Linked DNA regions of Zea mays. The main gene of each other region encodes a partner of the protein of the gene in region 3 in a complex. Links are inferred from orthologs where the notes say so. Each region holds a gene or a part of one and is shown on either strand. Other genes may lie near its edges. The genes, in order: cleavage and polyadenylation specificity factor subunit 3-II, probable cleavage and polyadenylation specificity factor subunit 1 and IDP798.

The links.
Region 1: IDP798 (region 3) and cleavage and polyadenylation specificity factor subunit 3-II share a complex: the UniProt entries of both Arabidopsis thaliana proteins name them as parts of the CPSF complex. The link is inferred for Zea mays from reciprocal best matches to the Arabidopsis thaliana genes CPSF100 and CPSF73-II.
Region 2: IDP798 (region 3) and probable cleavage and polyadenylation specificity factor subunit 1 share a complex: the UniProt entries of both Arabidopsis thaliana proteins name them as parts of the CPSF complex. The link is inferred for Zea mays from reciprocal best matches to the Arabidopsis thaliana genes CPSF100 and CPSF160.

The regions. Positions count from the first base shown.
Region 1 is NC_050098.1:223,885,672-223,896,884, reverse strand, and holds the start of cleavage and polyadenylation specificity factor subunit 3-II, read left to right. Parts: upstream 1-3,924; 5' UTR 3,925-4,478; coding exon 4,479-4,503; intron 4,504-4,584; coding exon 4,585-4,771; intron 4,772-4,880; coding exon 4,881-4,953; intron 4,954-8,894; coding exon 8,895-9,012; intron 9,013-9,119; coding exon 9,120-9,193; intron 9,194-9,320; coding exon 9,321-9,457; intron 9,458-10,372; coding exon 10,373-10,436; intron 10,437-10,715; coding exon 10,716-10,781; intron 10,782-10,945; coding exon 10,946-11,015; intron 11,016-11,093; coding exon 11,094-11,198; intron 11,199-11,213. UniProt on the Arabidopsis thaliana protein: Component of the cleavage and polyadenylation specificity factor (CPSF) complex that play a key role in pre-mRNA 3'-end formation, recognizing the AAUAAA signal sequence and interacting with poly(A) polymerase and other factors to bring about cleavage and poly(A) addition.
Region 2 is NC_050097.1:87,240,120-87,251,232, forward strand, and holds part of probable cleavage and polyadenylation specificity factor subunit 1, read right to left. Parts: intron 5,662-11,113; coding exon 4,886-5,661; intron 4,238-4,885; coding exon 4,157-4,237; intron 3,817-4,156; coding exon 3,751-3,816; intron 3,659-3,750; coding exon 3,581-3,658; intron 3,255-3,580; coding exon 3,024-3,254; intron 2,941-3,023; coding exon 2,812-2,940; intron 2,715-2,811; coding exon 2,541-2,714; intron 1-2,540. UniProt on the Arabidopsis thaliana protein: CPSF plays a key role in pre-mRNA 3'-end formation, recognizing the AAUAAA signal sequence and interacting with poly(A)polymerase and other factors to bring about cleavage and poly(A) addition.
Region 3 is NC_050098.1:233,401,451-233,412,233, forward strand, and holds the end of IDP798 (Cleavage and polyadenylation specificity factor subunit 2), read right to left. Parts: intron 10,719-10,783; coding exon 10,661-10,718; intron 10,585-10,660; coding exon 10,477-10,584; intron 10,211-10,476; coding exon 9,958-10,210; intron 9,338-9,957; coding exon 9,159-9,337; intron 8,883-9,158; coding exon 8,787-8,882; intron 8,668-8,786; coding exon 8,569-8,667; intron 8,165-8,568; coding exon 8,033-8,164; intron 7,526-8,032; coding exon 7,481-7,525; intron 7,031-7,480; coding exon 6,866-7,030; intron 6,238-6,865; coding exon 6,163-6,237; intron 5,705-6,162; coding exon 5,606-5,704; 3' UTR 5,353-5,605; downstream 1-5,352. UniProt on the Arabidopsis thaliana protein: CPSF plays a key role in pre-mRNA 3'-end formation, recognizing the AAUAAA signal sequence and interacting with poly(A)polymerase and other factors to bring about cleavage and poly(A) addition. Required for antisense-RNA-mediated gene silencing.

The DNA.
Region 1 (11,213 bases), about 9.5 Mb from region 3:
ACCTATTATGCCATTAGTGGGATTGGCAGCGGATGGATTAGGGTTCTATTCTTCTCAGTTTGTAAAGAACATTTCCAAAAAAAATCGAAGAGGAGTCTGCTGGGTTTAGTCAAAATTGTAGAGGGGACGATGTCTACAGGTGATTTGGAGAGTGACTTTAGCTTCCATTTCCCATGGGGCGCCCCTAGAAAACTACTAAGTATCATCTTGGGTTCCTGATGCAATTCCCATCACAGGACAGGCTTAATGAGTTGACCAACTTTACTAAATTGAAGATGAAGATTTCAGGGGTTAAAATTGTAGTAACTTCGTTGACCTCATAGGCTATGGCTAAATCCATATTACATTTAGTTTGGATTAAGGCTGAAAATGTGCTCGAAGAACTGTTGAATTATCAAGCCATACGTGAGATGAGATCAATAATAGGAGCCGTGGAAGAGGTTGATCTGGCCTCTCTGAAAACTAATGACATGGTTAAATTTAAAGTGCATGTGAAGAGCGTCGTAAGGATTTCGCCTGTCATCGAGATAGGGGTCAAGCACCTCTTATATGACATTTATTTCAAGGTGGAAACCGAAGGTTGGAATGAGGAAGAAGCTAGTATGAGAAAGAGATCCTCGGTGGACTTATAGTTGAATGAGTTTGATTTGGGTGACAAGGGAGGAAAAAACCCAAAAGTGACATCCAAAAAAGTGAGAAAGACATCTGATTCCTAAAAATCAGAAAGAATCTGACTCTTATTTTAAAGAAACAATGATCTCTACAGATCTCCCTACCAATGAAATTAACAATCGCAATGAAGAGGGGTAAAATTTGGGGGACAAAATCAATGAGGAGTTAGACTTTGAAGACAGTGACGAAGACCTCCTCTGTTCTCAGGAGCTTAATAACTTTGTGAAAGAAATGGGTGCGGAGATAGCTAATGATCAGGAATTGGAGATGGATGAGGGTGAGATTCTTAAAGATCAAGATGAACAACAAACTGTTAAGGATAACAAAGGTAAAGCTAGATGGGTGGATCAAGCTGAAGACACAAGGAAAAGTAGTAGACCAGAGGCAAATGAAGATATCAGGATTACGGACAAAGGCATCAACAGAGCTGAGCGAAGGATGCCTTCTTGAACAAGGGTAATGATCCCAACCCATCCTCTATCTTAAATTCTGAAAATAGCTTGTTGATTGAAATAGCTAACAAACTTGGAGTGAATTTAGGAAAAGACGATAATGAAATAATAGGTAACTTAGAGACCATCAAGTGCTTAGAAGAAGAACATGGTAGGGCTATTATGCTAGTATCCAGTGCTGATATTAGTGATAAACACGCTAATAATCCTTTGGAGAATGAGGTTCCTTTGATTACGGATAGAATTGTTCAAGAGATGATAGATAGCGAATCGGAAGGGAAAAACACAAAACTCCGAAGAAGAAGAAAATGATACAAAAAGAGAAAAAATATTCTCTGAGGAAAAAAAATGAAGGTTCTCCTAAAATTAGATGCACATCTAATAAAAGGAGGTACCTAAATCAATATCATTAGGATAGTCAATTATCTGAATAAAAAGGGGTAGTATTGAACTGCCAAGGGCTTGCCAAACCCAGGAAATTTGAGTTCATTCATGAACTCATAAATAAAGAAAAAGTTGACTTCATTAGTCTTCAAGAGACCAATAAGAAAGAGTTTGGGTAGTAATATGTTCAAGTGGATCTCTTCTCCCCCTAACGGTAGATCATGGGGCTTGCTGGTGGGTTTTAATTCTGATACTTTTGAAGTTTCTGATATTCAAACCAAAGATTTAATGATAGTGTGTGGTCCATCACAAGATTAAAAATATTTCTTGGACCTTTGTTAATGTTTATGGTGCGGCTCAAGCGGTTAACAAAGATAATTTCCTAAGCGAGTTAGCTCCCACTTGCTCCCAATGTAAGGGTCCCATTTTGCTAGGTGTCGACTTTAACACCTTGAGAAATACTGATGAAAAAACAAGCCTTATGTTGCCAATATATGGTCATTTCTTTTTAATGCCATCATTGACCATCATGGTCTGATTGAGTTAGATCTCACTGACAAGAAGTTTATGTGGTCCAATAACAGAAATCCTCTCACTTTTGAAAAACTTGACAAATTTCTAGTGAGCCCTGAACCCATGATTGGGATTTATTGTACATCAATTCTGGTTAGAGGGATAAACAGAGGATACGACAAAACCTGGCACTACTTTCAGATACGAGTTGCTCTGGCATAAAAAACCTGATTCCAGAGAGTTGGTAAGTAGGAGTTGGGGGTTACCAATAAGGAGTAAAGGAAGTCTTAACATCTGGAAAGAGAAAGTTAAGAGACTCAAAAAATGTCTTAAGGGTTGGAATTTCAATGAAGAAGGCCAAAACATGAGAAGGAGAGAAGATCTTTTGAAGAAAATCAATGAGTTAGACACTAAGAATGAAGAAGGCGAGTTGTCAGATAGTGAAAAAAACTAAAAAAAGACCATGAGCTTTCGCTTAATAAACTTCTCTTCAAGGAAGAGATGAAAATGAAATAGAGAGCTCGAGAGGTTCATCAAAGGAGATAAAATACAAATTATTTTCGCCTTAAAGCCAACCTCAATAGAAGGAGAATCAGAATCCATGTTTTGATAGATAAAGGGAACATTGTTGAAGAGGGAGAGGGAAGATCGAATTGCTACTAACTTCTATAAAAACATGTTTGGTCCCTCCTCTATCTCCTCAATTTGCACGGAAGATAGAAACATGGAAAATATTAGTGAGGAGGACAGATATTTCCTCACTGTCCCTTTTATAGAGACTGAGATTAAATAGGTAGTTGTCAACTTTAAACAATAGTGCCCCAGGGTCTGATGGTCTCCCTGCAGATTTTTTAGACTTCTCGGACAACATAAAAAAGGACATCATGAAGTTTTTCGAAGACTGTTTTCAAAGGAAAACTAGACATTAAAAGATTAAATTACGGTGTTGTCACTTTATTTCCTAAACTAGACAAGGATATGGAAATGAAGAACTTTAGATCCATTTGTCTTTTGAATGTGTGCTATAAAATTATTACAAAAGTCCTTAACAATAGGTTGACAAACAATATCACTAAGGTGATTAGTGATAACCAGTTTGGCTTTATTAAAGGAAGATATATCCTGGATGGAGCTGTGGCCCTCCATGAGATTGTTCATGAAGTAAAAAAGAAAAAACAAGATGGGATCATTTTGAAAATCGATTTCGAAAAGGTGTATGACAAAGCCAATTGACATTTCTTATATAAATGCTTGAGATGAAAGGATTTGATGAGAAGTGGGGAGACAGACCATTAGGATTAATAGCTTAATTGGTCCCATCTTCTTAACCCATAAGGGGGTAAGATAAGGAGATCCTTTATCTCCCTCGTTTTTCCCGAATTTAACCCATATTTGTCCCGTATTTAAGAAATCTAGAATGAGCCTAATATGCATTAGTGCACAAACTAAATCCTCATATTCTTAAGTGAGTGATCATTTTAGCCACCGGTTCTTCTCAATGGCAAGTAGTCTAATGGCTCAAACAACATCGACCGTAGATATATATATACACCATTAACACCCAAACAACAATGAAATATTGTCTCTCTATATCTATTTGTTTCATGTTATTACACTGCTAGTCAGTCATTAATATCATGTATGCTTGTAATAAATTACGAGTTTCTACTTAATATTTTTGCTCCCATTCCGTTTACCCCCTTCCATTTCTGTTGCCGACTATTTCCGATGATAAAATACAGGAATATAAATATGAGAGAGTTTTTTTCGTTCGTTTTCATCTCTGGCAGCGTCACAGAAGAAGGCTACGAGCAAATAGTCTCTCATTATCTCTTATTTATTTTTTATTTTATTAAAAGATGAAATGACATTGTAGCTTTTGTACCAAGTTTTATAATGACATTTGAGTGAGGCCCTTTCGATCGGTGCCAAAGTAACGAAACCTACTTTGTTAATGATACAATCCTAAATTTTTCACTGGTTTGAAAACTTAAATTCCCTTCGATCTTGATCTTGGTTGGGGAAAAAAACCCCGGCCTGCCACCCTACTTCATCCTCGAGTCGACTTGTGCGCCGCCATTCTCCGTCGCCGCGGTCTCGCGGGCCCGCCGCCGTCCTAGCCGCCCTGTCCCCGCCCTCTCCGTCTCGCGCCCCACGCGGCCCTTGTCCATCTTTTCCGTCGCCGGCTCGTGCGGTCCGACGCCTGCCACCGGTTCCTCCTCTCGAGAAAGGCGGCGGCGCCCGAGAGAGCTTCTTTGAGGGAGGATAAGGCGGCGCGGAGCGTCTCTGAGCGGCTCAGGCCCCTCCGGCGCTGAGCTTTCCTCCGGCGTTGTGTGTGCCTGAGTTGTTGACTCCCAATTGAAGCGTGGTCAAATTACCTCGGCTCCGGTATGGGTTGGAGCTCTTTATGGGTTGCTAAAGCGTTTAGAGTGTGGCTCTAGGCGTGGATTTTCACCAATGGCAATCGAGTGCCTCGTGCTAGGTACGCGGCAGCGCGCTCCTCTTTTCACCCTTTTTCGAACGCACTGCTCGGTTACAACCATGCTAGCGCTGGTGATTGCAGGGGCGGGGCAGGAGGTGGGTAAGAGCTGCGTGGTGGTGACCATCGGCGGGAAGCGCGTCATGTTCGACTGCGGCATGCACATGGGCTACCACGACGACCGCCACTACCCGGACTTTGCGCGCGCGCTCGCTGCCTGGGGGGCGCCCGACTTCACCACCGCTATCTCCTGCGTGGTCATCACGCATTTGTGCGTTGCAGATAAACATTTTAGCTTTTCATCCTTTTTCTTTTTATGCTGGCAATTTTCTTCAGATTCTCGCGTTTGGTTGGGGGCTGAGGAAGCTTGTGCTGTGCAGCCACATGGATCATATCGGGGCACTGCCCTACTTCACCGAGGTTTGCGGCTACCACGGCCCCATCTACATGACGGTGAGCTATGAACACATGATTATTGTTTGTGTTACTATGGCCAACGAAAATTGTATTAACAAAAGTTGCTTCACGAAAATTTAACCCCCAATTGCAAATTCTTTATAACCTTGTGTATATAAAATCTTCATAATTATTTTCATGGTCACAAAATCATAAGTTACTTGCCAATAGGAAATTACAATTAATGGTGAAGCACAAAATCTAGTAGCATGTTGAGTTCAAAATTGATCCAGAAAGCGTTGTAAGCCATAGAAACCATAAATCCAGGTTAATTTAAAGCCCATCATAGTAGAATGAATCTTGGGTTTAGCAAACGCAAAGACATGTCTCTTAGATGAAATCAGCTGTAAGTGTAAAAATGCAATATGCAAGCATAGTCACCCTTTGCAATATCTGAGTAACTTCCTGGAGCACATTGAAATTGACTGAGCCATACTCGGGCATGAAACTAAGGCACCAAGCTAGTTTCGGATCAAGGCATGCTGAAGTTTTGTGCTCCAGTTGAGTCTGGATGGTGTTCAATTTAACAACAAGCAAGTTGTGGTAGGCTAGAGTTGAAATTCAACATAAACCACAAGTCAAGGTTTAGATACATAGATAGCCGTTTTCCATGCACTCCTATTCAAGGTTAAATCTTTGGTATATTTCATTTTTTCAAGTCTCATTTTACTGTCTCCTCCCATATAAACTTTGGCCTTCTCCTACCTATCTTTCCATTGCTATCGTGCCTTAGAATCCTACTATGTACTGGTGTTTCTGGAGGTTTTCGTTGGACATATCCAAACCATCTCAACCGATGTTGGACAAACTTTTATTCAATTGGTGCCACCCCTAGCCTATCACGTATATCATTCTCTTGGACTCGATCCCTTCTTATATAGCCATAAATCCAACGCAATATACATATTTTTGCAACACTTATCCGTTGAATATATTGTCTTTTTAGGCCAACGTTCTACACCATACAACATAGCAAGTCTAATTGCCGTCCTATAAAACTTGTCTTCTAGCTTCGGTGGTACCCTCTTGTCATATAGAACGCCAAATGCTTGTTACCACTTCATCCACCTGCTTTGATTCTATGGTTGATATCTTCATCAATATCCCCGTCTCTCTGTAACATTGATCATAAATACGAAAGATATCCTTTCTGGCACTACCTAACCTTCCAAACTCACATCTCCTTCATGGCATTCAATTGCATTGACTTTATTTTTAACCTAGAAGCTAGAATGGTACATTCAAACAATCACTCAAAACTTACAAATGTGTGATATCAAAACCCAGTTACAAAATCACCTGCGAAATCATATGGCCAACATTGCCATATCAATGGGTATATATCATTTGGGCTGGATAGTAAGGGTAGAGTACAGCCCTAGTATCTGGGAAGTGCTGTATTTTTGTTATTACCAATTGCATAGAACTGACTGCACTATAAATCTGTCAAGGAAGAATGCATCAACCCCCTGGCACCACGACTATATTTCTCTGACCAAGCAACTGATACCTACTTTTAGGAAGAGAAGCTTGGGAATCGTATGTATGTGTATAACTCCATCTACATATCTAAGACTATGTCCAGAACCGTGTATTTTCAAGAACTATGGTATATATCTGCATCTACATATACGGATATATGAAGAACCAAATATTCCATAACCATGAATATAATGAAGCAATTTTGATGCAGTTGAATTTAATCCATAGAAAAAAAACTATTTTTTTGCACCTGATTGTCTTCTAAATTGGCTAAACATGCTCTGCACAACATTTGAAATCATTTAAAGGCAGAGAAATCTGAAAAAACATATCAAACCAACTCTAATTAAAGGCACAATATCTATAGCGAGAAACTAACTCTGAAAAACTAACTCTTGGGCTCTTGGCTGCATCTAAATTAGACAAACAGATTCGCATCAATCACTAAGGCCTCAAATTCAAATCACGCAGCATGACTCTTCTATGGTCTGATGGGAAGCAAACTATTAGGAGTGGGCCAGGAAAACAAAGAAGAAAACACATATATGGCCTTCCTTCGCAGGGAAAATGGTGGTCTCTTAACCGTCTTGGCAGCAAGTGCTAGATCCTGCCTTATTACTCTTCATTTATCCATCGAGGAGCAAGAAACTATAACTTGATTGAAGGCAATAATTAAATCAAACGACACTCAATATGGAGAGAATAATGTATGAAATGAATGCGGAGGATTGCAGGCCTGCCTTACTTCTGTGAATGCCCATCACAACACTTCCCTTCCTATTCATGTCCCTTCATTCTGTATTGGGCCATCAAGAGGTCAGGGTTTCTGCATTAGGTGATTAACATGAGGAGATTGAGTGAAATAGTGGGAGGCAGGGCTGTGAACAGGGGGTGGTTGATCAGGTCCGCAGAGTGGTACAACTCAATGAAAGGGTTGGTGAGCAGGGCAGCACTTGTTTGCGTACATGGCTGTGCCTTATCGGAGCATGAAGGGAGGGATGACAGCTGTGTGGTAGAGGCAGTGTTAAAAAGCATCGCCCAGGCGTCCAGACACCAAAAAAGACTGAGAGTCGGCGTTGCCTTGCCCCAGATTGACAGGGCATCCACCTTGGCGTGCTGGGCGTCGCATTTGACCGCCTGGCGGGCGCCTGAAGCCCCAAAAACCTGGGCGAGGGGCCTGCCCCTTTTGGCGCGTGTTGCCTTGCATGCGTGCGGGAAGAGAAAGGAAGGAATAGATAAGGAAGGGATAGATTAGGGAGGAGAAGAGAGAGAGAGAGAGGCACTGAGGACCGACGACGTGGCACTCTTCGTATGATCCCTGGCTGCTTCGTGTCCCTGAGGACCGGCAACGGTGTGGGCACGACATCCAGACGGGCATGGCACGATGTCAAGGCGGGCGCGTGTGCGGCATCGGACACAGGCGTGGCATAGTGCGGCCGGCGCGGCCACGACATAGGGTGCCAACGCGGGCACAACAAATGGTGGCCGGCGCAGGCACAACAAATGGTGGCCGGCGCAGGCACGGCAACAGGCACCCGGAGTGGGCGCGTCACCAATCACCATTGCGAGCGTGGTCCTGCCTTCGAGGTCGTCCTCCCCTGCTTCAATCTCCGCTGGCCCCTGCTTCAATCTCTGCTGGCCCCTGCTTCAATCTCCCCTTGGTCCCTGCTTCAATCCCCCGGTCCCTGCTTTAATTCTCTCCTGGTCTCTTCAATATTAGTTGGCTTGTATGGTGTCGCCTAGGCTGTCGCCTAATTCGCCTAGGTGTCCAGGCGGTGGCTGAACGCCTAGTTCCACCTTCCCGCCTTTAAAACCATGGGTAGATGGGTAGTGGATCTGTTGCATGGAAGTCATATGCAACAAGCACCTTAATGCTTGCGGAGGAGGATGTGTGCGGTGGTGGTCCAGTGGGGTTGACACAATGCAGTAATTGTCGAATGAGAAGATGCTGTGGATGGATCGGCTGCATGGACAGTCTGTTTGGTGGCAGTGTGATGCAGACAAATCAGCTAGAATGGCGGCTCAGGATGGCAGGCTGGCAGATTGGGGGTTGGGGCACGGGAGAGAGAGGTATAGGTGGTAAAAAATTGGATGCTGAGAAAAAAAAACAGAGCAGGTGGTCGCGAACTCACGATCGCTGGGACAATAAAGTAGAGGGTGAGCGAAGTGGGGTAGGATCTGAGTTACTGCATACTTTTGAAGTAGTAGAGATATATAGAATGTGCTTATTGTTATCTAAACTTGGCTTCAAGTAAATCCTGGATTGATTGGGTTGTTTAAAGTTGGGATTGTCCTGCTTCTGATCCAAGAAGTATGCTTGGGCGGAATGGTCTTGCATTATTAGCTTATATGCTTGTGCTGCTATCTTCCTTGGTCTCCCCACTTCTTATATGAAGCATCTATATGTCTGATGATTGATGGTCATTCCATAACTTATGTCATGTTACCTCAAGCAGTATCCAACAAAGGCTTTAGCTCCATTTATGCTCGAGGATTATCGGAAAGTAACGATGGGTCAGAGAGGTGAGGAAAAGCAATATAGCTACGAAGATATTCTTAGGTGTATGAAGAAAGGTAATGTTAGTTCAGTTTGAAACTTCTAGTACCTGTCTACTTAGACACTGATGCTGGTGCAAAAGTAAGTTTGTATCATAATCCTCTTGTAATACTTGATCTTTCAGTCACACCAATGGACTTGAAGCAGACTGTTCAAGTAGATAAAGACCTTGTGATCCGTGCCTATTATGCTGGACATGTAAGTTTCTTACACTGTTTTTCAATTTTCATTCAACATTCTGCTCAGTGTTCTTTAAATACTTTGCATTTAAGTATTGATTTAGCTCTCTACTTTCTAATCTAGTAAAACCATTGTCAATCTCAAGGTTATAGGGGCTGCCATGATTTATGCAAAAGTTGGGGATGCTGCTATGGTATACACTGGGGATTACAATATGACACCAGATAGACATCTTGGGGCCGCACAGATTGATCGTCTGAAGTTGGATGTATTGATAACAGAGTATGGTCTAACCTCAAACTATAAACATTTCTGTTTTGCGGTTGCCTTTACTTGGATTTTCAATCTAGTGTTGTTGTGATTTATGCCACATTATATCCATAGGTTATTTCTTATGGTTTCGCAGCACAGGTTTTATGGGGCAGAGGAGGACCCCGGCTATGTATATGGCAGTCAATAGTCATTCTGTAGAGGGTCAATCATATTCACCTTGGCACCCTATATTTGGGAATAGTGAGGGAGGGAGAGAGATTATTTTGTTGCCTAAGTCCCACCGATTACATCTGCTCAGTTGATAAACACCAAGTTCAACAATCTCCTGCTTCCAAGCACTAACAAATCAACCACTAACAAGTCAAAGCAATCCTGGAACTGACTAATAAACTGACCAAAACTCCAAACCAACTGAAACGGAAGACCTTGCCACTTGTCAAGCAGCTGTTGCCGGCTTGCTGCAGTCTCAGGCGTGTTACTGCTGTGCTCATGCCATGCCTGCACTGCTCTTCTTGGAGAGCCTGCTGCAGTGCTTGCTCTGCATAACAGCAGGGACTAAAGGGCATGTTTTACCTATTTGACTTATCATTGTGTGATCGTCTTAGTTGATATCAGATTTTGGGAATATTTTCCTGACCACCTGTGGACCTTTGCTCAGCTCCTGTTGTTAGCCAATCTTTGTTCTCCTGAATATTGTTTGAGTTATGGTTGTAAATTACCTATATAATTTGTTATTACACTTGCTACTCAGTTGAATCTACTAGTTTATAATGCTGCGATAATCAACCAACCTGCCTTTGTTGCATAGTGCCATAGTTGTAGTGGCTTCCTAACTTTTCACTGTTATATTTGAATTAAGAGCATCAATTGTTGCAAATGATTTTTTCCCTGTATACATAACCAATTAACTACTTTTTTATTCAGGTCCACATATGCTAAATCTATACGTGACTCAAAGCCTGCCCGAGAGAGGGAGTTTTTAAAAGCGGTATGAAAATCTGAACTTTGCTGCAGCCTGCAGTGTATATATTTGTAGATTTTCGTAATCAATGCTTTTCCGATGGTGTACTACTCTATTTTCTAGGTTTTGGATCCTATGTGCTCAATATTATTTGGGCACACAACACAGTTCACTAAGTGTATCTATATTTTTTATTCCTGATGTTTTCGTCCAAGAAGATGCACTCTGACTGTATTAAACCAATCTTCTGAAGTGTACACAGTTGATTTTACTTCCAAAGCATAACTGAGTATATGTTTCCTCTAGGTACATAAATGTGTTTCTGGTGGAGGTAAAGTTCTAATTCCAACGTTTGCTCTGGGAAGAGCTCAGGTATTGTAGTTCTCTTAATTCTACTTTATGAGACAAAGTGATGGTTAAGTGTGATAACTATATATGACTTAAATGAGCAAGTTTCCCTGAGAAGTACCATTCCGAGGGCACACTGTTCAAAGGTTTCATAATTTGAGTATCTATTTGTGACGCTTGTATTTCAGGAACTATGTATGTTACTGGATGACTATTGGGAGAGGATGGGCTTGAAAGTTCCTATTTATTTTTCAGCTGGTATGCGTGGTCTCTTGAAAGTTGAAACCTTGTACTTTCTGCTGCATGTGAAGTTATCTTTGATTATTTGTGCTATAGGTTTAACCATTCAAGCTAATGTGTACTACAAAATGTTGATTGGGTGGACTAGTCAAAAGATCAAGGACAGCCATACAGTGCATAATCCATTTGACTTCAAGCATGGTATGGTTCAGTTCT
Region 2 (11,113 bases), on a different chromosome or scaffold from region 3:
CTGCCCTCGTTCCCGCCTCTGAGGACCCCCACCCCGACATCTTGGTCCCCGCTGACTGGAGGGTGCGACTCAGCCTCCCTCATCGCTGCTTTCAGCACCATGGTGATGACACCACTCCCCTCCGAATAGGTGGTTGACTCTGGTGCATCCTACCACACCACCTCCACCGCGGGTACGCTTTCTCGCTCCCATCCCCCTCTCTTCCCATCCCTCCTCGATCGTTGTTTGGAACAGTTCCACTCTCCCGGTCACCTCAATAGGTGCCTCGGTTCTCCAAGGACCGTTCTATCTCAAGAGTGTTCTCGTAGCTCCACATATTACTCACAACCTTCTTTCCGTTCGTCGGTTCACCGCCGAAAATTCTTATTCCATTGAGTTTGACGCTTTTGGTTTCTTTGTGAAGGATCTAGCCACCAGGACCCTCTCGCACGATGTGACATCTCGGGGCCCCTCTACCGGCGCGTCCTCCCCACCCATCCTGGCCTCCACCATCTCCTCTACCACTTGGCATCGTCGTCTCGGCCACCCAGGACCGACGTCATGACCAATCTCACCAGTAGTTTAGATATTCCATGTAGTAGCGGGCATTTTGAGGGTCTTTGTCATGCTTGTCAGTTAGGTCGCCATACTCGTCTCCCATTTACTGCTTCCGCTCGGGCTGAGCAGGCTTTTGATCTTCATTGTGATCTCTGGGCTTCTCTTGTACTGTCTTTCTAAATATAAATACTACTTGGTGATTTTGGATGATTTCTCTCATTTTCTATGGACTTTCTAGCTTCGGTTGAAGTCCGACACGTTCACCACTCACACCCACTTCTTCGCCTGGGCCTCCACCTGGTTTCGTGGCCCGGTCCATGCCCTCCAGTGTGACAATGGCCGCGAGTTCAACAACTCCGCCTCTTGCTAATTCTTTCTCTCCCACGGCGTTCAGTTGCGTCTCTCATGCCCTTACATCTCTCCCAATAATGGCCTGGCCGAACGCATCATTCGCACCACCACTAGGCGGTGAGCCATGTCCTCAATCGCCTCCCCTCGAAGGCGGTGAGCCACCCCACTCACCACTTTGCCCTATATGCACAGCCGCCTCCTCCTATGACCACCTTCATGTTTTCGGTTGTGCTTGCTATCCCAACGCATCCTCATCTCTTGTCACGTTGTTTTTGACAAAGATGTTTTTCCCCTTGCTGGCTCCTCCCCACCTGCCGATCTCGACTCCCTCCATCAGTCTGATCCTGTCCCTCCACCACGGCCCCTCCCGATTCAGACACCTCTCACGCCTCTACCCACGCCACGCGCGATCCAGATGCCCCGGCTCGTGCCTCTACCAGTGCCACACACAGCCAAGACACCACCGCTCGCACCCCTACCCACGCCACGTGTGACCCCGTCGACGAGCGGTGCGGCCCCGTCGTCTGCCCTCGCCTGGCTCGCTTCGACGACCCCACCATCGTCTACCACAGTCGCGAGCGGCCCACTACTTCGGTCACCGCTACCCCTCCGGCTCATTCCCACACTAAGCCGTTGGTGTACCACCCGGTAGCCATCCACCGTGAACCCAGCCACATTCACCCGATGGTGACTCGTCGGGCGGCCGGCGTTCTCCGCCTCGTCGAGCGATTGGTCCTGACGTTCGACGCACCTCCGAACGCCTCACCAATTCCATCCTCCGTTCGCGCCGAGCCTCACTAGCGTCGCACCATGGAGGAGTACGTGACCCTGCTGGCCAACCACACTTAGGACCTGGTGCCGTTTCCACCAGGCACCAACGTGGTCACCGGCAAGTGGATCTTCCACCACAAGCTAACCTCTGAACGCCTCACCAATTCCATCCTCTGTAAGGAGGGTTTTTGTATCTGGGGTTCTTTCCCCTTCCCTTCTGATATAATATATTGGAGTGCAGTTCTCCTGCGCTTTTCGAGAAAAACAATAGCTTACAAAAAAATTATACTTGAAATCGATCAATATCCAACCTGTAAATCGCCTACATGTTGCATTATAATATTTTTATACTTGAAAAAAAAATCTTAAATACAACATCAGCGTAAGAATAACAAAGACATTTTTTAATAAAAGCTCAATTTTCTAGAGATGGAGTTGAGTTACAAGCCAAACACATCAAAATATTGTTCAATTCTAGAGAAGAGCTGCTCTATGATGGAGTTGGTAGAGCAGAGTTAGAGTTGGTGGAGCAAAGTAGTCCCAAACACCCCCTATATTAAGAACCTCAATCGGAGCCTCGACCAAGAAAGGTCACGAAAGCTACCCCCGTGCAGCATGAGGATGTGCCCCCTACAAGTCAGATTGGTACTCATGCTTTGAACCCTTCCAACCCCTACACGAGGATCCCCCCCCATAGGTCAGTCCACCATGTGTGCACACAACTAAAGGAACCAGCGAGTGACCTTTTTTAACCTCAGTCTGAAATTTGCTCCCACTGGGATTCGAACTCAGGATCTGAGTGCTACTCAGACCACCTAACCAACTCAAATGAAAGCCCCTTCGTGCACCACATATAAATAAAGAGTATTTACAATACTTACAATGTTCAGGCTCACAACATGCAATGGTGCATCATAGAATGCAACGGCAGTCAATTCAGAGCCAGTCCATTTATTCAGTGTGATCTTAGGACCAGAAGCTATCAGTAGATGACCTTGAAGAGCGGCAACAGCAGATACAGCACCTTTGCTCTCTTTTGAGTAGACTTCGGTAACCTGAAACAAATTAACAGGTAACCAGATAAAGAGTGTTAGTTGAAATGCCAGTAGGAAACTAAGAAATTTTTATCCAAAGAAGTCCAATAATGCTCACCAGATTTTGAGAATTTTCACTTTTACTGAAAGAGAACAGAAGCACCCGTCCTCTAGCAGCAACATCCTCCCCTTGAACATAAGCAGTTCCAATGGCCATCAGGGTTTCATTTTCCTTCGTAGATGTGTTCTGAGGCGAAAATCAATAATATTCTGGTAAATAAAATTTTAGTTTGAGTGCAGTATCCATACAAGTGTAGAAGACATACATACTTGCAAGGTAACGATGCGCACTGTTAAAGCGTTTTCAAATGATTGCATCGGAATGGTGGACCTTGTCTCCCAACGTCCATTGGATTTTCCCAACTCCATAATACGAACTTCAAATTCATCAACAGTATAGACCTCTTGGAGGTCACCACCACTTGTAACATCGTTCTCCATGTGCAGACCCAATTCTTGATCAGCCATAGAAGAAAGAACTTGATTTAAGGGGCGAACCTGCTGCAGTAAATGAAACAAAAAACCTTAAACTATAGAAATCTATCTGTACATAGATAATCCTTACAAACACAATAAAAAATCAGTACATTAGTAAGTAAACAATAGTAAGAGCATAAGGCAGTACATAAGGGCGTACCCAGTGCCGTAGGCTTCCCGCACTATGCGGGGTCTGGGGAAGGGTATCTTTAAGCGCCAAACCTTACCCGCATAATATGCAGAGGCTGGGGCTCGAACCCGGGACCTTCCGGTTACAGACGGTAGGCTCTACCGCTGCACCAGGCCCGCCCTTAGTACTTACAAAAACAAACACAGTATACAGTACTTACAGGAACTGACACAATAAGCGGATAAAGTGACTGCTCTCCATAATATGTGACCTGATGTGGAGTGCCATGCAAGGGGACCTACAGATGTGCAATAAAAAACTTTTGTATAAGAAAAACAATGCTGCAAATAATGTTAAGGTAAAGCATGTGGACATGAAGATTAACTTTACCTTTTGAACAGGCCAGTAGTTGTCATAGTTATATGCAGATGGCAACTGACATATCTTCAGAAAACCCTGAACCCATAATTCATAACTTCAAATTCCAAAACAAAAGCAATATAATATTTTTTGCAGGATGCAATATAAGTATATAAACACCAGGTAACCATATTTGTATATTTCACAATGTTTTCTGCTGATTGCATTCCGCAAAAAAATAAAATTCTAGTTATTGCAACGCTTAAACTCCCACCATTTGAAAGAATTAATAATATTGTGCTAGTTTATAGGGGCAAGGGTGGTCATTTCACATTGGAACTCGTACTTCCTTGGTAAGTGCAACTGTGTGATGTGGACAAACACAAAGAAGAATAGAAAGTATCATGTTGCAAAAGGAATACAAATGGCAGTTTACCTGAGATGTCACATAAATAAGGCCACGGCAACAATTGACATTGTGGAGAACAGTAAAGGCTACAATTGGACCGTCGCATAACTGCAAAATTTAACTGCTTATAGAAGAAGAAAAATAGAACAATGGTTGAAGTTGTATGTAAGTGCCATTTCTCTATAACCTAAAGAGACACACCCAACTCCACTAGTAGTATTTATTAGAAAGTGCAGCAGGGCCTGTCGCCTGGCATATCTGCTGGCCGGCCTGTATGGAAGTCTTAGCAGGGCCTGTCGCCTGACATATCTCTAGCTATATCTATGCCAATACATCCATACAGGCCGGCCGGCAGATATGCCAGGCGACAGGCCCTGCTGCACTTTCTAACAGTATTCATATGCGTTATATGTACCCTATCATAGGCATTTGAAACTGAGAAAATAAACTACAAATTCTGACCAATTTAGCATTATGTTCAGTGGAAGAAGCCTAAGAGGATGGGTCATCAGGATAGACCACATGACAGAAAACAAATAATAAGAATAGTTGAAAACATCCATTTAAAAACCAAAAGAGAATTTTTTTATGTCTTCAGATTTTTAGAATAAAAGAACAATTCAGCAGAGTAACTGAATAGGTTAGGTACGAAATACTCAACAAAAGAATGTCATTGTTTCCTAGCCATGTAAGTATATTGAGAGAACATTATAAGATGTCTGATAGAGGAAAGAGAGAGCATAGCATTTTGCATACCTGTGGATGCACCCGAAATCGCTGTCGACAAACAAAAACCCAGGTTGGCCTTGGGCCACCAAGAAATAATCCCTCGTAACCTCCAACATTGTTGAAAATTGTTATTCTTGGTCGTACAAGACATGATATGTCATCTCGTGATGAGATATCTATTGAAACTCGACAAAATCTCAAATTTCTGAGTCTTGAATCAGTGGCATTGCCAATATCCGGTGAACCACCATGAGGTGAGAAAGGAGCACATTGCACATTGCTTTCTGAGCCTTCAAAATAATATGCGTGATAACACAACAATGTCCCATCATTCAATAATCCAAAGAGGAATGGCCGGCTGAACTGCCCAGACCATCTATGCATTGCAAGCTCAACTATCTTAATGTTTGCTGCTTCCTCTTTCTTCACAGAAACTTTAGAAGCATCTCGATCCCCTATTCCAGAATCCTTAGTAGAATTACGAGAAAACACATCAAACAAGATAGCTGGTCCAGAAACAAAATTATCCACAGAGAACACACGTTTAAAACTGGGTACTTCAAAAATTTCCAGTTTACCGCTTTCATAACAAATTATGCAATATATATCAGACAGGTCGTGAGAAGAATTGTCATTATCATCAATAGCCTCTCCAACATCAGTGGATAACCATGCATCAGTATGGGTCTTTCTAAGCCATGGCTCAGGTCCTCTGTCACAGTATAGTGTACATGCTGATATCCGCTCACTTGAGCTTGCGAATATGGCAGGAGCATTTATAGAAATAGTACAGGTTGAAGGATCTGCATCAAAAAGTATAACATGTAATCAAGTTTCAAGCAATTGGCAATGGCAAACAGTGTTCTTGAGGCGGTAAGGCGAGGTGAGGAGCTAGACCACCGCCTTAACGCCTAGGCAGGCAAGGCGAGCAAGGCACTAGAATTATACGAGCGCCTGGACGCCTAGACGATGCCTTAAAACACTGATGGCAAAGGCAATGGTCACAAATTTTGCACGACAGATCACTTAATAAAGAATCTAGATTGAATTGACTAGCATGTCTTCTATTTAACAGTAGACGAATTCTCAGGATCTAGGGAAAGCATCTAGTATGTTTGTGTGAAACCATTTTTTGGTGTAATACGTGAACTTCCCATCTGCACCAGAAGCTAATCATGTCTAAATTTCATTGAGATTAGCAGGTTAATACTGAATAAAGAGATACTTAAACTTCCACAAACATAGAACCCAATAGATTAGTGCACAGTTCCACACATATGTTTTAAATTCAACTGCATGAAAGCACATGATTGCAAAGCTCTATCTTCAGCATTTGGGAACTCTCATGGCAGATTCTTTTTAGTATTTCTAGACCAAGGGTCAGGGCGGTCAGCAGAACTCCAACCGCCACAACAAGAAGGGTGGCGTGAACACTGGTGGGAGTGGTCAGCATGACCAGCAGCACCAGGGGAGCAAGCAGCGCAACTACACTTTCCACACTCTCCAGACCATGGGTCTGCGTTGGTGCTCTGCGAGGCCAGCAGCAGCACAGTCATGGCCTCGACAGCAGCAGCCAGACTGGTGCAGCCAGGGTATCCTTGGGCTTGCTCAACAGCCCCATACAGCCTCCGTGCCTATGGGAAACCCTAACCCTAATCAGGGTTGAGAGTGCATTAAATAGTCCAAGTAGTTGGGCCAAGCCAATTACACAGGGATAGTCAGGTAATTACAAGAGGACTCAAGCCAAAACACTAAACGGGATTCTAACACCCCCTGTAGTCTCAACTCTATACTGTACAGATGTTGAGACTGGATCGAAACTCAGTGAATACACTCGACGACAACCCCTAGGTGAAGATGTCTGCGAACTGCAACGTGGTCGGGATGTGTAATGTCAAGAATAAGTACCGGCTAATGTAAATTATGTTATTGTAACTCTTTCCACTTTTACTCTGAGGTTGTGTAATATCTGTGATATGAGATGTACGCTCTTGGAAGATGTTGAAGAAGATGCAGGAACCAGGCCCTGTCAAGCTATTGGGTGCATCTATATGACTGCCTAAGGTCCTAGGGACAAGTACAGCTGTAGGTGGGCCTAATATCTTGGGAGGTTCCGTGACAGCTAGTATCGGAGCGGCGCCCATTTCTTAGGACATTACTTAGTGCTTCAAAAGGTTTTTTAAAACTACTTACCTCTGAATATTCTTTCATTAAGTAGTCGGGCAAAAGAGTGCATATTACTAGGTTATATGTAGGGAGTAGAGGATCAATAAGTAGTTGATTCCATGATCGTAGGATCATGCATGCATCATGTTTAAATAATACTAAGTGTTCTCCCATTTTATAGAGACATGGCACGCACAAAGACCACCCTTCGAAAAGCGACTGGACCTCAGGGTGTGCCCCGACATCAGTTGGCTCCTCATCATGAGGGGAGCAGCAGTGAGAGTAATGATCCCACAGGAGACTTGGAGGCTAGAGTCGAGCGTCTGACAACGGAGTTGCGCCATGGAGGTAGGGGGCGCGTGCGTGCTAGTTGCCGCATCGCTGAGTTGTCAGGAGAAGTAGAACGTCTGCAGCGGAAGATTGTAGAGCGTGATCAGGCTATGGACTGGGTTGTGAATTCGCGATCCATAGCCTAAGATCGTGATGCGACTACCCGAGCCCGGGTGGATGAGTTAAGTCTAGCCTTGGAAAACCTGCAGGTGCATGAGTTATATGACCAGCTACATCCAAATGTGCCACCCGAAGTTGCAGAAATGGGTGTTGGCGCAGCGGGAGCAGGTGAAGGAGGACCCTATGGAGAGTTGAACATCTTTGGAGCCCCTCCTTCTATGAACATCGTGGATGTACGCCCTCCTGAAGCTAGTAGCGGATCTGGAGCGACCAAGAATGCGGAGAACTAGACTAGTATAGTAGTGGGTTGTTTCCTTGCTTAGACCTAATAAGGAGAGTGGGTTTGTATGGACTGAGTATGTATAATAAGTAAGAGCATGGAATAATGTAACAAATGTTGTGTAACTGTACTGTGTAATAATAAAGCGTGTTTTTCTTCTCCAGATGTCGACAAGGACCCGTGGTCATGATGGGGTAGGGACTTCTTGGGGTAGTGGGGAGGAGACCCCAATCCCACCGCCTGTACCTCCAACTTTGGCGGAGGCCATTGCTGCCCTGCTTAACGCTACTGCTGACAATACCCGGTTTCTCCGGGAGATGGCAGGAAACCAGATCCACCAGCAAGGAGGTCGAGGCCAAAATAAAGCTCCAAGAGACACTACTTATATGGAATTCTCAGAAACTCGTCCCCTGTCTTTATTAAAGCAGAAGAATGGAATTCTCACAAACTCGTCCCCATGTCTTTATTAAAGCAGAAGAATCTCTAGAGGCGGATGAATGGGTCCGTGTGATGGAACAAAAATTTGGACTGATCCGATGTACAGAGACTCAAAAGCCCATGTTTGCTGCTCAACAAATGTGAGGCCCCGCTAGTACATGGTGGGCAAACTTCGTAGACATTCAGCATGAAGGTCATCTTATCACGTGGGCAGAGTTTAAACTAGCGTTCAGGGAGCATTTTTTTCGAAAACGTAGGAGAGTTGTGTATCATTATATTAATAAGAATAGGTGAGGTAAAAGAAACCTCATACAACTCTACACAAACCCACATACACTAGATTATAGGTAGAATAATAACAATAAAAAACAGCTAGATCCATGACCATGGAGACTCCAAAATAAAGATTACTGATTGGTTCACTGGAGCATAAGGATGCTGGATAAATCACTGGTTCCAACCCTACACCAGAGGTGAGACTCCTCCTTGACCCAATTGATGACCATGCTGGAACTAGGTTGCACACCATTAAATACACAACGGTTGCGGTGATTCCAGATGGCCCAAGCTCCAAGTATGATCAAAGAATTCAAGCCCTTGTGCAGCCCATTATATGCTGAATCAACAGAAACTACGTCAACTCCTTCCCACCAATCCTCAAAGGAAGAGTTCTCAAGGTTAGAAGCAAGGTGCTGCAACCCGACAGATTTCATAATCTGAAACCAAACTTCCCGAGACAAAACGCAGGAGACTAACAAATGGTTTAGCGTCTCTTCCTCTTGATCACACAGGGGACAGAATTGAGGGTGAGGCAGTCCTTTCTTTGCTAGACGGTCTGTTGTCCAGCAGCGACCGTGAGCTTGAAAGCAGCCGGATATGCTTATCCTCTTGATCCGGGTATAGGGCCCAATCTGCAGTGAGGTCCCAAACATTGACGAAATCAGACAAAATATTTACAGTGATAGCTCCTCTTATGTCCTGCACCCAGTTCCTTGAAGTGAAGGCATCGTGGACACTCCTCTTTTTAGCCCTAGAAGAGACCAACTTGACCAGATGAGGGGCCAGCTGACTTTGGACTCTGGCCATCGATCCATTTATCTGTCCAAAACAAGGTGTTTTAACGTTACCCACCACCGAAGAAACCGATTCCGAGAAGAAGGCCTTAACCGAAGGGTGAGCATTTATTTTAAAGGATGTCCAAGGCCTGCCAGTATCAGTTTTTTCAGCCAGAGCCAGCGCAATCTAAGAGCCCAACTCATCATATGTAGGTTTAAGATACCCAATCCTCCAAATTCTTTTGGTCTAGTGACCTTGTTTCAAGCTACCAAACAATGTCCTCCCATAGCTTCTTTCCTCCCTCTCCACAGGAATTTTCTTCTAATTTTGTCAATTGCTTTGATAACACACGAAGGAAGGTTGATGGCCATCTTTAAGTAAATAGTCATTGAGGACAGAATAGTCTAGACAAGAATCAATCTTCCAGCTCTAGTCAGCAGATCGGCTTTCCAGCAGGGTAGACGATTTGCAATTTTATCAATGAACGTTTGGAGGTGCAGTTTATCAAGCTTTTTTAAGGATAGAGGCACCCCCAAGTATTTGCAGGGGAAGTTGGCAACATCGCATGGCAGCAGGTTACGTATGGTATCAAGTTTTTCAACAACACAGTGGATGGGGAAAACACTGCTCTTTGCCATATTTGTTTTGAGCCCAGATGCCTCACCAAAAAAACCTGAGTATGTCCATGGTGATTTCTAAATCAAATGCCACCGGGTGGAGCAAGATCACCACATCATCATCATAAAGAGAAATACGGTTATGATCTGAATTTTCTGTTAGAGGCTCCAGCAATCCATCAGCAGCAGCCTTCTTAATTAAGTAGCACAATACATCCATACCATTAAGCATTACTTGAGAAGCAGAAGCAAGAAGAATGCTAACAATATCACACCACATTTGCCCAAAACCCAAATGCTTCAAGACCTCTAAGAGGAAGAGCCACGAGACAGAATCAAAAGCTTTGGTGATATCCAACTTAAGGAGGATCCTTGCACATTTTTTCTGGTGAAGCATTTTGGTTGTCTGTTGCACAAGCATAAAGTTGTCCAGCATGGATCTGCCTTTAATAAATGCACTTTGATTCTGAGACACTATATTATCAAGGTGTCCAGCCAGCCTATTTGCCAAAAGCTTAATGATGAGCTTAGCAAAGGAGTGGACCAAGCTTATGGTCCGAAAATCCTTAACATGGCATACTTCATCTTTTTTGGGTATTAGAATGATGTAGGCTGAATTGAGCAGCTCCAAATTTCCCCGATTACTATTCCAAACAGCCATAGTAGCTGCCATAATATCTCCCTTAATAATATGCCAGCACGACTTATAAAATTTCCCGGTAAAACCATCCGGGCCAGGAGCCTTGTTTAAGGTAGAGATAGGACTGTTTTCCAGACTTCATCTTCCATGAAAGGGTTGTCCAGCGATGAGAGATCATGAGTAGAAATTTGGAGATGATCCAGATCAATAGTATGTGCTCGGTCAGATGAACATCCCAGCAGATTGTGGAAAAAATCACTTAGAGTTTCCTCCTTGTCCTCATGCCTTGACTTTATCAAACCATCGTCAGATAACAGATTACCAATAAAATTTTTGCCTTTGTGGTATTTAGCATGGAGGTGGAAGAAGACAGTGTTAGCATCCCCCGCAGCCAACCAGGTGATCCTAGAGCGGCTCCGAGCCATAGAACGTTGCAAGGTTGAAAGGGCCACAATGTGACCATCGAGCTGTTTCAACAACCAATTTTCTAACACAGAGACAAGGGTCTGTTATCTTGAGCAGATTGCAGCTTATGCATAATTTCCCGCGCCATCCCAAGCTGAGAGGTAATATGACCCACCCTTTTTTGAGACCAGCTTTGGAGATGC
Region 3 (10,783 bases):
CCTACTGCAAGTGCATCCGCCCTGGGCGCAGGCCAACACGAGGCCACGATTCCCCTTACTGTTTCCCCCTTGTGTTCCGTCTCGCGCCGACCCATCTGGGCTGGGGCACGCAGCGACAATTCACTCGTCGGTCCAGGGACCCCCCGGGGTCGAAACGCTGACAAACATTGTTTGAAAAAAATACATAAATCATAAGAATAAAATCTAATTGTCATGGTGTAGAATCCAAATATGCTCTATCAAATCATTTTGGAGTTGATCATGCACTGAGCTTGCATGGAGTGCGACCACTTTTGAAGTGCGGCCTCTTGTTGAAGGATGGTTGCAAAGCTCATCAATGCTTGTGAGATAACGATTGTTGCTGTAACAGAGAACTCTATCTCATAGTTATCTATGTGTGCAAACGGAGAACTCGACTATCTCAATTGTCTATGTGTGTACAATGATATATGCACACATGACTACACTGAGTGCCTATTGGGAGGAAGAACGATTTAGGGTTGCGAGGATATGGAATCGAGCCTTGAGCACCCCAAATGACCTCTCCACGTCCTTCAATTTCTGTCTTGGTATACAACAAACATCTTCTAGTTTGAAGTATGTGGGAGCGAAACGGTCTTCATGAACACCGGTCGACGAGAGTATATACCATCACCGAGGTAGTACCTCTGTTTGTACTCGTGGCCATTCACCATGAAGTTCATGTTTGATGCTTCATCCTTAAGCACGTCAATGAACAATGGTGATTGGTTGAACATGTTCATGTCATTGTTTGATCCCGCCACAAAAAAGCATGTAAGATCCACAAGTTATATGAGGCAACTATCTCAAGCATGATGGCTAGGGATTCGATGTCTTGTATTGCGAATTGTCCTCTTCATCTAATAGGATAGTCCCTCCACTTTCAGCGTATGCAATCTATACTCCCTATCTTACCAAGAAATCTTCTTTCCTCCCCCTTAGCTAATAAATGCCTAAGGCTATCAATAGTGGGACGACACATGTGCTACACCTAAAACATGCAATAACACCTCTACATAATAGTTTAAGATATTCTAAGGCAAAACTTTTCCCATTTTGATATATTCATCGATGGAGTCAGCAACACTACTGTACGCAAGTATATGTAGGGCAGTTGTGCACTTCTGGTGCGGGAGAAACCACTGCGGTTGACAGCATCAGTTCGAAAAGTGAAGTAGGGGGGGTGCCCACCTAGCCTCTCCAAGATGTCAAGGAAGAGACTCCTCCACATATGATACCTTCGACAAATGTAGAGTGACAGGCAGACGCACGGGTCAGTGAAGTAGCCTTGCATCAACTGGTCGGGCGGCTTCATGGTTGCGGTTGATGTACTTTTGATGTTGCCTTCTCAACATGGAAGACTCAGGCAAGTTCTACCGCCAGATGCATTATGTCTTCTTGCAGCAACTCACAATGGAGTAAGTTATTGTGATCCTGCTACTGTAAAAAATATGTGCATCATGCTCAATTAGGAGTTTTTTTGGGAAAGTTACGGAAGGAGATCCATCATTTTGCAATAAAAACAACATAAAAACCCTAGATAATTTCGAAATCAGGCCAAGCATCTTAATACATATGCAAAAACATTATTGACCCACCATTGATTACAAGATTTAGCTTTTATGAAACGCTATTGGTTTGGTACGAATAATTACAGTCGTCACTCAAGGAGTGGGAACTGCCATTCTGACCCTTCTTGGGGGATTCCATCCACAAACATAAAATTTATGGTTGATCGATATTGCACGTCATCATTTAGCTATTGTATTTATTTTTATTATTGAGGTCATATGCATTGAACTAACTTCAGAATTGGACACAATATCAAAGATCTTTTAGAAGCACATACTCCTCCGAGGGGTCGATTAGGACGTGGGCATAAAGGTCTTTATGATACAATCAGTAATTAATTTATTATGATTCTTTAGTTATTTATTTTGTATTTGAAATTTTAAGAATTTTGACTCATTCTAAGTATTTCTTATTGTCGAACCATAGCCATAGTCATAGTAATTGCACTTGTTAAAGAAACTAGAAGAATTAGGGAAATGAGTTCAAACGGAAGACAGTCGTGTGGGCGAGGTCATCGGCAGCCGGTCGTGGCCTCGCAGGGCCTAGAGATGCCAATGGATGTGATTTACCCACGTACCCACGGATAAAAAAAACCGTTGGACACGGTTTTGGGTACGAGCCTATACCCGTGGATACGGATACGGGTAGCATTTGATATCTGTGGATATTTTTAAAAGAGGTACGAAAAATCAGTATCCATACCCGAATACCTGAATATCCGTTAAAGTAACCTGACATGTGGGGTCACTAGAGTTTGGAACCACTTCACGGACCACAACCAACCCAACTGCCCAAGTCCCGTACTCCTGTCGCCACAAGCCTAGGTTGATCCAGCGAAGCCCTCGCTCTAGTACCCTCTCTTCGCCGCCCACTCCATCTCTCCCACTCCTACCGCAGTACCGCTACCGGCTACCGGTTGTCGCCGCCGCCACCACCCCAGTCCCCAGTCCCCACCCCCACCCTCCTCGAGACCTCGACGGCCAGCCGCCACCTGGCCAGGCGGCCAAGCGGCCACGACGACCACGGTCTGGCGCTCGACGGTCCCCACGTCGAGCACTGCGTAGCCGCGCAGGACATCGCCAGGACTGCGCAGGGTTTAGGGTTTGATCGATCTTCTCCACGCGACCACGTCGAGCACTGCACAGGACATCACCAGCTCGCCCAATAGATCCAGTTTCTTTGTAGGTTCTTGTAGTTTTTCAGATTCTTATAGGCTTTTCAGATTGGAAATACCATGATCCTGGTTACTTTTATCAACTCAATGACTTACAGCTACCATGGAAACCCCTAGTGGTGGCACTCAACAAGCCTCTACAACTGGTCCTCCTACCATGGTGGTGGAGTCCTCATCAGAGCAAGAGGACATACCTGCTTCGTCAGGATCAAAGAGGAAGCTCAGATCTGATGTGTGGAAGGATTTTGATCAGGTTGAAGTTGATGGAGTAGGGAAGGCTAAATGTAAACATTGCAAGAAGAAACTTTCGGGCATCACAAAAAATGGTACATCACATTTGCACCAACATCTAAAGTCTTGTATTTGGAAACCCCTAGTTGGTGGAAGTTGGAGGGAACTCGTTATCCCACTTTGAGGCTGGTTGCTAGAGACATTTAAGCTATTCCAATCACCACAGTCGCATCTGAACCAACTTTTAGCACAAGTGGCAGGCTTTTAAGTGACTATCGCAGTCGTCTCACTCCTAAAATGGTGGAAGCTTTGATGTGCAGTCAAAGTTGGCTTCGTCACACTCTTCAAGGTGAACTTTTCTTCATTTTTCCAATATGTTATATTTGAAGTATATAGATACTAATGTGCATGTGACTTTATTTTAGGTGCTGGTGATGGAAGATTCAATAGTTTTTGGTCTTGCCTTGAAGATAATGAAGAAGACATGAAAGAAGAATCTTGTGTGTTGGCTGCTGATTCTGAATAACCAGCTGGTCTTTGGTGTTGATTCTTGTGGCTTGTGTGTTTGTAATTTTATCAATTTGAACAATTCAGATTTGATTTTGCTAGACAATTTTATATTGCTCGTTGTATGCCTTAATACATGTATCAAATTTGATTTGCTAGACAAATTCTGTATGGTTGTAAGTTTTATCATATTTAAATTTGTCGGACAAATATGTTATCATATTTGAATTTGCTGGATTTAAATATGTTGTATGTGTAGTGGGCAAATGAATATATCCACGGATATCCGTTACCCGATGTGGATACTATTTTTTATTCGTAGCGGGTAACGGGTACGGGTTCGGATATCGAATATAAGTCGCGGATATGGGTGTCCAGAGACATTATTCGCGGATAGTTTATCTGTTGCCATCCCTAGCAGGGCCATGGTGGTCGGCCGTGCGTTCTAGCCGCTGGCTGTGACTGTGAGGCCAAACTTTGTTGGACATGTATACGTGGATGATTTAATTAGACCAAGACACGACATGGATAAATAGTGGGTCGTGTCATGTCCGCCCGTATGCCGAAGTCTGAGCTCAATCATGGTCCTATTAGTTTCAAATGAGCCGTGTCGGTCAATCGTGTTGTGCCATCGTGTCGTGTGGCCTAAGATCTGTCTCGTAACAGGGCTCGAAAATAACTTATTTTTCCCCTATTTTTGGTTGTTCATTTTCTCCATTTTTTTCTAACAGAACTCAAAAATAGATCTAAAGGGGTGATCGAGTTGGTCATATTTGTATATATGGTAGGCTAGATTAAGACAAGTAAGCTTAGGCCACAAATGGGTCGTGTTCGGTTTGATGGGCCATGCATGCTTAACATCGAGCTAAATAGGCCGACAGTAAATAGGTCATGCTCATGCCACCCTATGCGGTTGTATCCAAGCCAAGCACGACCTATGACATGTCTCGTGTCGGTCCGGGCACCGTACCGTGCCAAAATGATCGTGTCTCGTTTGACCCATATAGTCCGACCCATCTGGTCACCTATACGGACATATTTAGTTCAGCTTTTCTCAAAATCTAGCTGTCATAAGAATCTGCTTATGGAGATAATCTAAGTATCATAGAGATTATGTACGGAGAAAGATAAAATGGTACATAGGGTTTATGGCGTAGAAAGTAACGATTTCCTACTATTGAAACAGTTTGACCAATTCTATGTCTATATTAATTTTAGACGGTTTTGACTAAAACGATTTTTATAAAAACATGCTGAAAAGCTAAGCAGTTTCTGTTGTGCTTCGTAATGCGGTTGTGGTGGCCATATCGCGTAGGTAGATGATTGAAAATTGGATGCATGCCTCGAGGGACGAAAACAATTGGGATCGATCAAGATAACTATTCCATTATGATTTTTACATTTTATTTTGAAAACGGGACTAGTGGAATGACAAAAATGATAAAAACAAACGAAAAAAATCGATAAAAATTAAAATGGAACATAAAAAACAAAAACATAGCCGCATAGAGTATAGGTATTTAAGATATATTGATATCCATTCAAATCTTACGGTCATAGACCAATAATATTCGTATCTGATCTAAATCTAAAAAGAAAATATATCTAATCTAAATCTAAAGAGAAAATATGATACAAGCATTACCCATCTCCGATCTGATTGATTGCACCCCTAGGTGGAAAATAGGTGGACGCTTTGTCGTCGTTGTTTTTGTTCTTCTTTGGATGGATGCATTGTCATCGTTCTTGGACCACTTGGTAGTCAGCTTTGATGTTGATGAAAGAAGGTATCAAGGGGAAGAAGATTTAAAATATGCTCAACCAATTCAAAAAGAGTCAATACGATCAATATAGAACACATGCCCATAATGATGAAGGACGAAACAAGCTTCAGCATACTAACCACGGTCATCCGGAAACTGATGCCAAAACTTTGTCACGGTCATCCCACGCCAAATTTCGGACAACACAAGCCTAAGCTTGTGAAAGGGGAAACAAACAATGTAAAAACAGAAAACACCAGGATAGTCTTACAGTCAACATCTAATCTAATAATTTATAACCAATGTAAATAAAGCCTAAGCTTTGCCGTACGTTGCCTCACAGCAAGTAGAACTGCGAGTACAGAAGCTCCCTGATCTTGTAATAGTCCTCGCAGAGGGGGCCCTCGATGACGATCTGCTGGGACCCTGTGCTGCCCTGCAATATATATAATAATCGCATCACAGACGTATAATACCTTGTTTGGTATCAACAAACTGCATTTTTAGACGTGCGAAATCAAGGTTCAGAGTGGAGTTCTAAAAACTCCAAAAGGCTACAGTTTTAAGCAACATAACTTTCAGAACTAAAAGGATTCTTCAATCCAAACATTTCATATTGCTGCTTGAGGACCAAATTATTTTGCAAACTATGGTATTTCTAGAGCTCCAAAAAAAAGCTTTGCATCCAGAAAGGGCCTAAGTGTGTTAAGCCTCACACCACCGGGCAAGCCATATCAACTATGCTCGTGCAATTTTGTTGGTACAGGTCATAAAAAACTAAGGCATGTATGCATGTAACATAACAAGTTCTAAATCATAGTTCTTGAACTGGAGCATATCAAGTTCTGCCAAAACACGCAAAGGAGTATTGCTACTAAATGATGCGGAAGCTACCTTTAGGATAGAATCACCAACTTTGCGCACCATGATGTATTCGCCACACCGTAAAGCACCTCCGGCAAATTCAACCTGCAACAGCTCTTTCCTTAGCGACTATGTCAATGGTTTCAGTATACACCAACAAAGATTATTTATCCCTGCCTGCTTAATATTATCCAACCAAAAATCATATGCTGCACCTTTCATCAACCAACGCTTGTGCATGCATGTTTTTAAAGATGTCGATGCTTTAAAACTTTTGACTAATAATTCAACCAAAAATACATAGTTTTAGTGTATGCATTATATATTACTTAGATTTATATTCAAAAGTACTTTAATATGGTGTTCATTTTGTATTTATTGATGGCATATTTAAAAAATGGTCAAAGTTCCACTTTAAAGACCGTGCCAAAAAAATTATATGGCCTATTTTATAGGACGGAGTATAGGCTATGTGGAACTAAACAGCATGTGCAGGAAACAAGTGTCATCTAGTATGTCGCAGTATGCTACGGCTAGTGAAAGTTCAAGAACAAATTTCTTCTCAGCATACTTATCACACCTGAATCTCAACATATTTGATCCTCTCACGTTCAACTGAAAAATCCTACTAAATGAAATATTCATCTCCACTCCTAAAACTACAAGTTTGGATAATGGCCATATAGGTCCCAAGGAAGACACAAAGACTCACAATTCAATATAATAAACCTACCTGCCAGCCTTTGTTTTCCAAAAATTGTTTAAAATCAGACAACTTTAGATCACCCACAAGAACAGGCTTATGGGGTGGTGGTGTTGACGATGGGGGAAGCAAAATAAGCTTCTCATCTTCTTTTCCAACTTCTGCATCCACCCAAGCAATTTCATGCTCACCCAACTGCAGATCATGCTAATGTTAGTGGTTTCATAACAATGATTCGTAATCAAGTAAGTGCATATAACAAAGTACAGTGTTTAAAACCTAACCGTTTCAAGGATGAAAAACATGTTACTTGCCTTAAAAGATCTATAGGTATGGACAACTTTTTGGCATGCAAAGCCTTTGAAGTTCAATAATCAATGCAACTGGTTCGATATTATTTAGAGCTAGCAACTGAACATGCAGTAACAATCAATACAAGAAACACTCAAATCAACAAATGCCATATATGGAAGGAATTTTGCAATGAGCATTTTTTTCTATAATAAACCCAATTGGTTTGATCTGAGGGCTAAACTATACAAAAGAGAAGTTAGACCATTGGATTGTCATAACAAGGTTCTTTGGAGCTTGTTAATAACAACAGAAAGAATGAATGATAATGATTTAGGGAAATATAGCTCGTACCTTCTTAGAAATGATGTTACTCATTAACTTCTCCGAAAGTTGTACCTGAGATATATGATATGATAGCACAAACATCACAAAGTTAAGCATATGGAAGGTTGAAGCAATATGCAACATACCAACTGTGCATGATGCGGTTATGTCAGGAACACAGGCTCCTAGGTAATGACACATACACAAGGGTATTATTGCTGCCCACTAGAAGACCATAGTGTTGATAAAAAAAGGGCGTACCCAGTGCCGTAGACTTCCCGCACTGTGCGGGGTCTAGGGAAGTGTATCTTTAAGCGCCAAGCCTTACCCGCATAATATGCAGAGGCTGGGGCTCGAACCCGGGACCTTCCGATTACAGACAGTAGGCTCTACCACTGAATTGCATAACTTAATTAAATTTAAGTGATTAGTACATGACAGGGGTTTGATTTTACCTCATTTGTTCCAACAATCAGATAAGTAGCACATTTAGTATATTATAGGTTGCCTGACCTTCATGACCTCCTAAGCAAAGGTTCTACTCGGTACTTAAAGAGAGTGTGTAGTTAAGATGCTAACCTTATAAGCACATAAGTCTGATGTTACATCAATAGTTTCCTCAATCTGTGGAGCATAAACATGCAAATCTAAATTCTTTGCGCAGTGCATTTTCAAATGTTCAGTTGCTTCAGCTGATCCATGCACCAGGATCTGCAAAAAGTAATGCATGATTCAGCATAAGATAACAACTTTCTATGTACAGGTCAACCATTAACCACAAGGATAACAGTACCAGGCCACTCAAATTTTGTGCCAACTAATCAAACAAGCAGCAGGCACTTTCAATTTAAATAAAGTTTTGCAGTGGCATGTCATCCCAAAAAATGCTTAGAAATGGCATACCCTACCATCTTTGGTGTCAGACTCAGTACCACAGATATTTAAGTAAATGGAATTGAGGAGAATTCAAAAGGTTATCTTTGCCATGGAGAAGTATAACAGTATGTGTGCGCCAAAGAAAGAATATGCTCCAGAAAGTAGCATTCTTTAGTTTAAAGTGTAAAATCTAAACCATGCACGCACAAGAAAGAATATTTCAAATTAAATTCACATACAAGTTTCAGTGGAGCCACGTGAGCAATAATTGATTTTACAGAACGCCCATCAGAGCGACCTTCAAAGTCCATATAAACCAATGAGCATTTCACTTGAACCTGAAAAAATGTTCAGTATACCGGCGCACGTGTAAAATTTCAATCTGTATATAGACATATATCTAGCTCTGCAATTGATGCAGAAACTAATGAAAGAAAACAAGGAGGGAAAAACTTACAGTCATCTCGTTGGAAATGACTTTTGAGGGCGTTGAATCAAGAAGCAGGCGTGCTGAGCCATCATCGATCCTACCATCTAATCCATCTCCAGGGCCCTGAAGAATACATGCTTGTCAGAACCCAAAATAATTCAATTGATGGTCGTCTTATACCGAGTTTCATGTATTTCCAGTTCTGTTCAAAACATCTCAGTTATCACAAAGGAAAACACAGAGTTGGCTAATTTGATCCAATGAAACCACCGTCATCTTCCAGTCAATGCAACTCAGTGTTATGAACAATAACTATATCTGACAGACAGGTAATTTACATATGATCAACTTTAAAGACTCAAGAGGCATGTGGCCACATGGGTGTATAAGCAAACTTACAAGCATCAGAGTATTATCCATTTCTTCTTGTTTCATCATATAATCATCAGGGTTGATGACCTCACCAAAGTCGTCCCATTCAGCAGTGTTTTCAAAGAAGGGAAACATTGGAGCAACACTGGTTAAAGGAGGGACAAATCCATCTATGAGAATATCATTGTTCCCACCAAAATGTGAAGCTGGTAGTGTCACAAAGTAAAGAATGATAGTCAACTATACATAACATGTCACATCAAATAGAAATAAACCTTACAGCATAAGTTTGTAGAAACTAAATGGAACGGCAGAAATGTTAGCATAAGCATTGTCTTGCCTACTTCAATATAGTTATCTATACTACTCTCTATTAAGAACCTAATATGGGCACATGTTGCTACCACGGCTTCACCCTCCCCACGCTCAGCGCGCGCAAAAAATAGTGCAAAGCGAGCACTCTAACTCAAGCCGACTGCTCTAGAAAATTGAGGTTAACTATCAGACCACACATATTTTGATGTTTAGAAATAAACAATAATTATATTTGTAGTCTAGTCATCGTTCCACCCGCTTCCCCACCCCGTTGCAACGCACGGGCATATAACTAGTAATCATGAAGAGTGACATCAAACTTGATCAAGCCATTGTCTGAAGCAAGCAGAAAAAAAGTAGAGCTGAATCAAAGAAACAGCAAGTGTACTCTAGAACTCATTATCGACAGATATGCCATATTTAAGGTTGCATGTAAGTCATTTCAATAAAATATTTTATGGTTGCATGTGTGGTAAGTTATGAGAGAGATTAACATCTAGGCGTGTTATACCATTCACAGATTTTCGAGATGAGCTTGCATCAATGACCATTGGCTCAGAAGCCTTTGTGTTTGATCCATGAGAAGCCTTTAGCTCCTCTTCTTTGACAAGGCTAGCCTTTAGCGATTTCTCTTTTTTTATCCGTTCTTGCTCTTCTTCATAAGCCTTTAGTTCATTACCCACCAAAGGAATCCTCTTGCTCATAGTGACCTTTAAAGCTTTAGGGGGTGGGTCCACTTGGAGCATTCGAGCCAGTGTCCCAAACTGGAGAGCAAATATTTTCTGATCAGGTAGTTGTATAATGATACTCATGCTTGTAAGTGAAAGAACATTAGGATTAAAAGAATGGTAGTTTGATCAAAGTGAGGCTTCATAATCATATTCAATTTGTTTAAGTGTGGGCAAGCACTGTCAGCACTCAAGCAGTCATAATTCGGGAGCTTAAATACTTCCTGTGGCATGTCATTTCAGATTGCTAACTAGTGAGAGCATGTGAAGATTGATGACAAGAGCAACACACAGGAATGTACCTGTCCCTTCTCAGTAAAGAGCACTAGATTTCTTGCTTCATTTGCCATCTCCACAAATATGTCATGAGAAAAGCCAACCTCCAAACTTGCCATGGATGCCAGAACCACCTACTAAATAAGTGTTTAGTTCAAGGTTCCAACAGTATAGTAGAGAAAGAGAAACAGATAATTATGCTACCCTAACCTTTGGAGCATCTCCCAATTTCTCAAGCTCTTCTTTGTTAATTATCAGCGTGACCTTTCTGCGACATTGAACATCAAAGGTTGTTAATAATAGAATCAGATCAGATGGACCACAATTTATTAT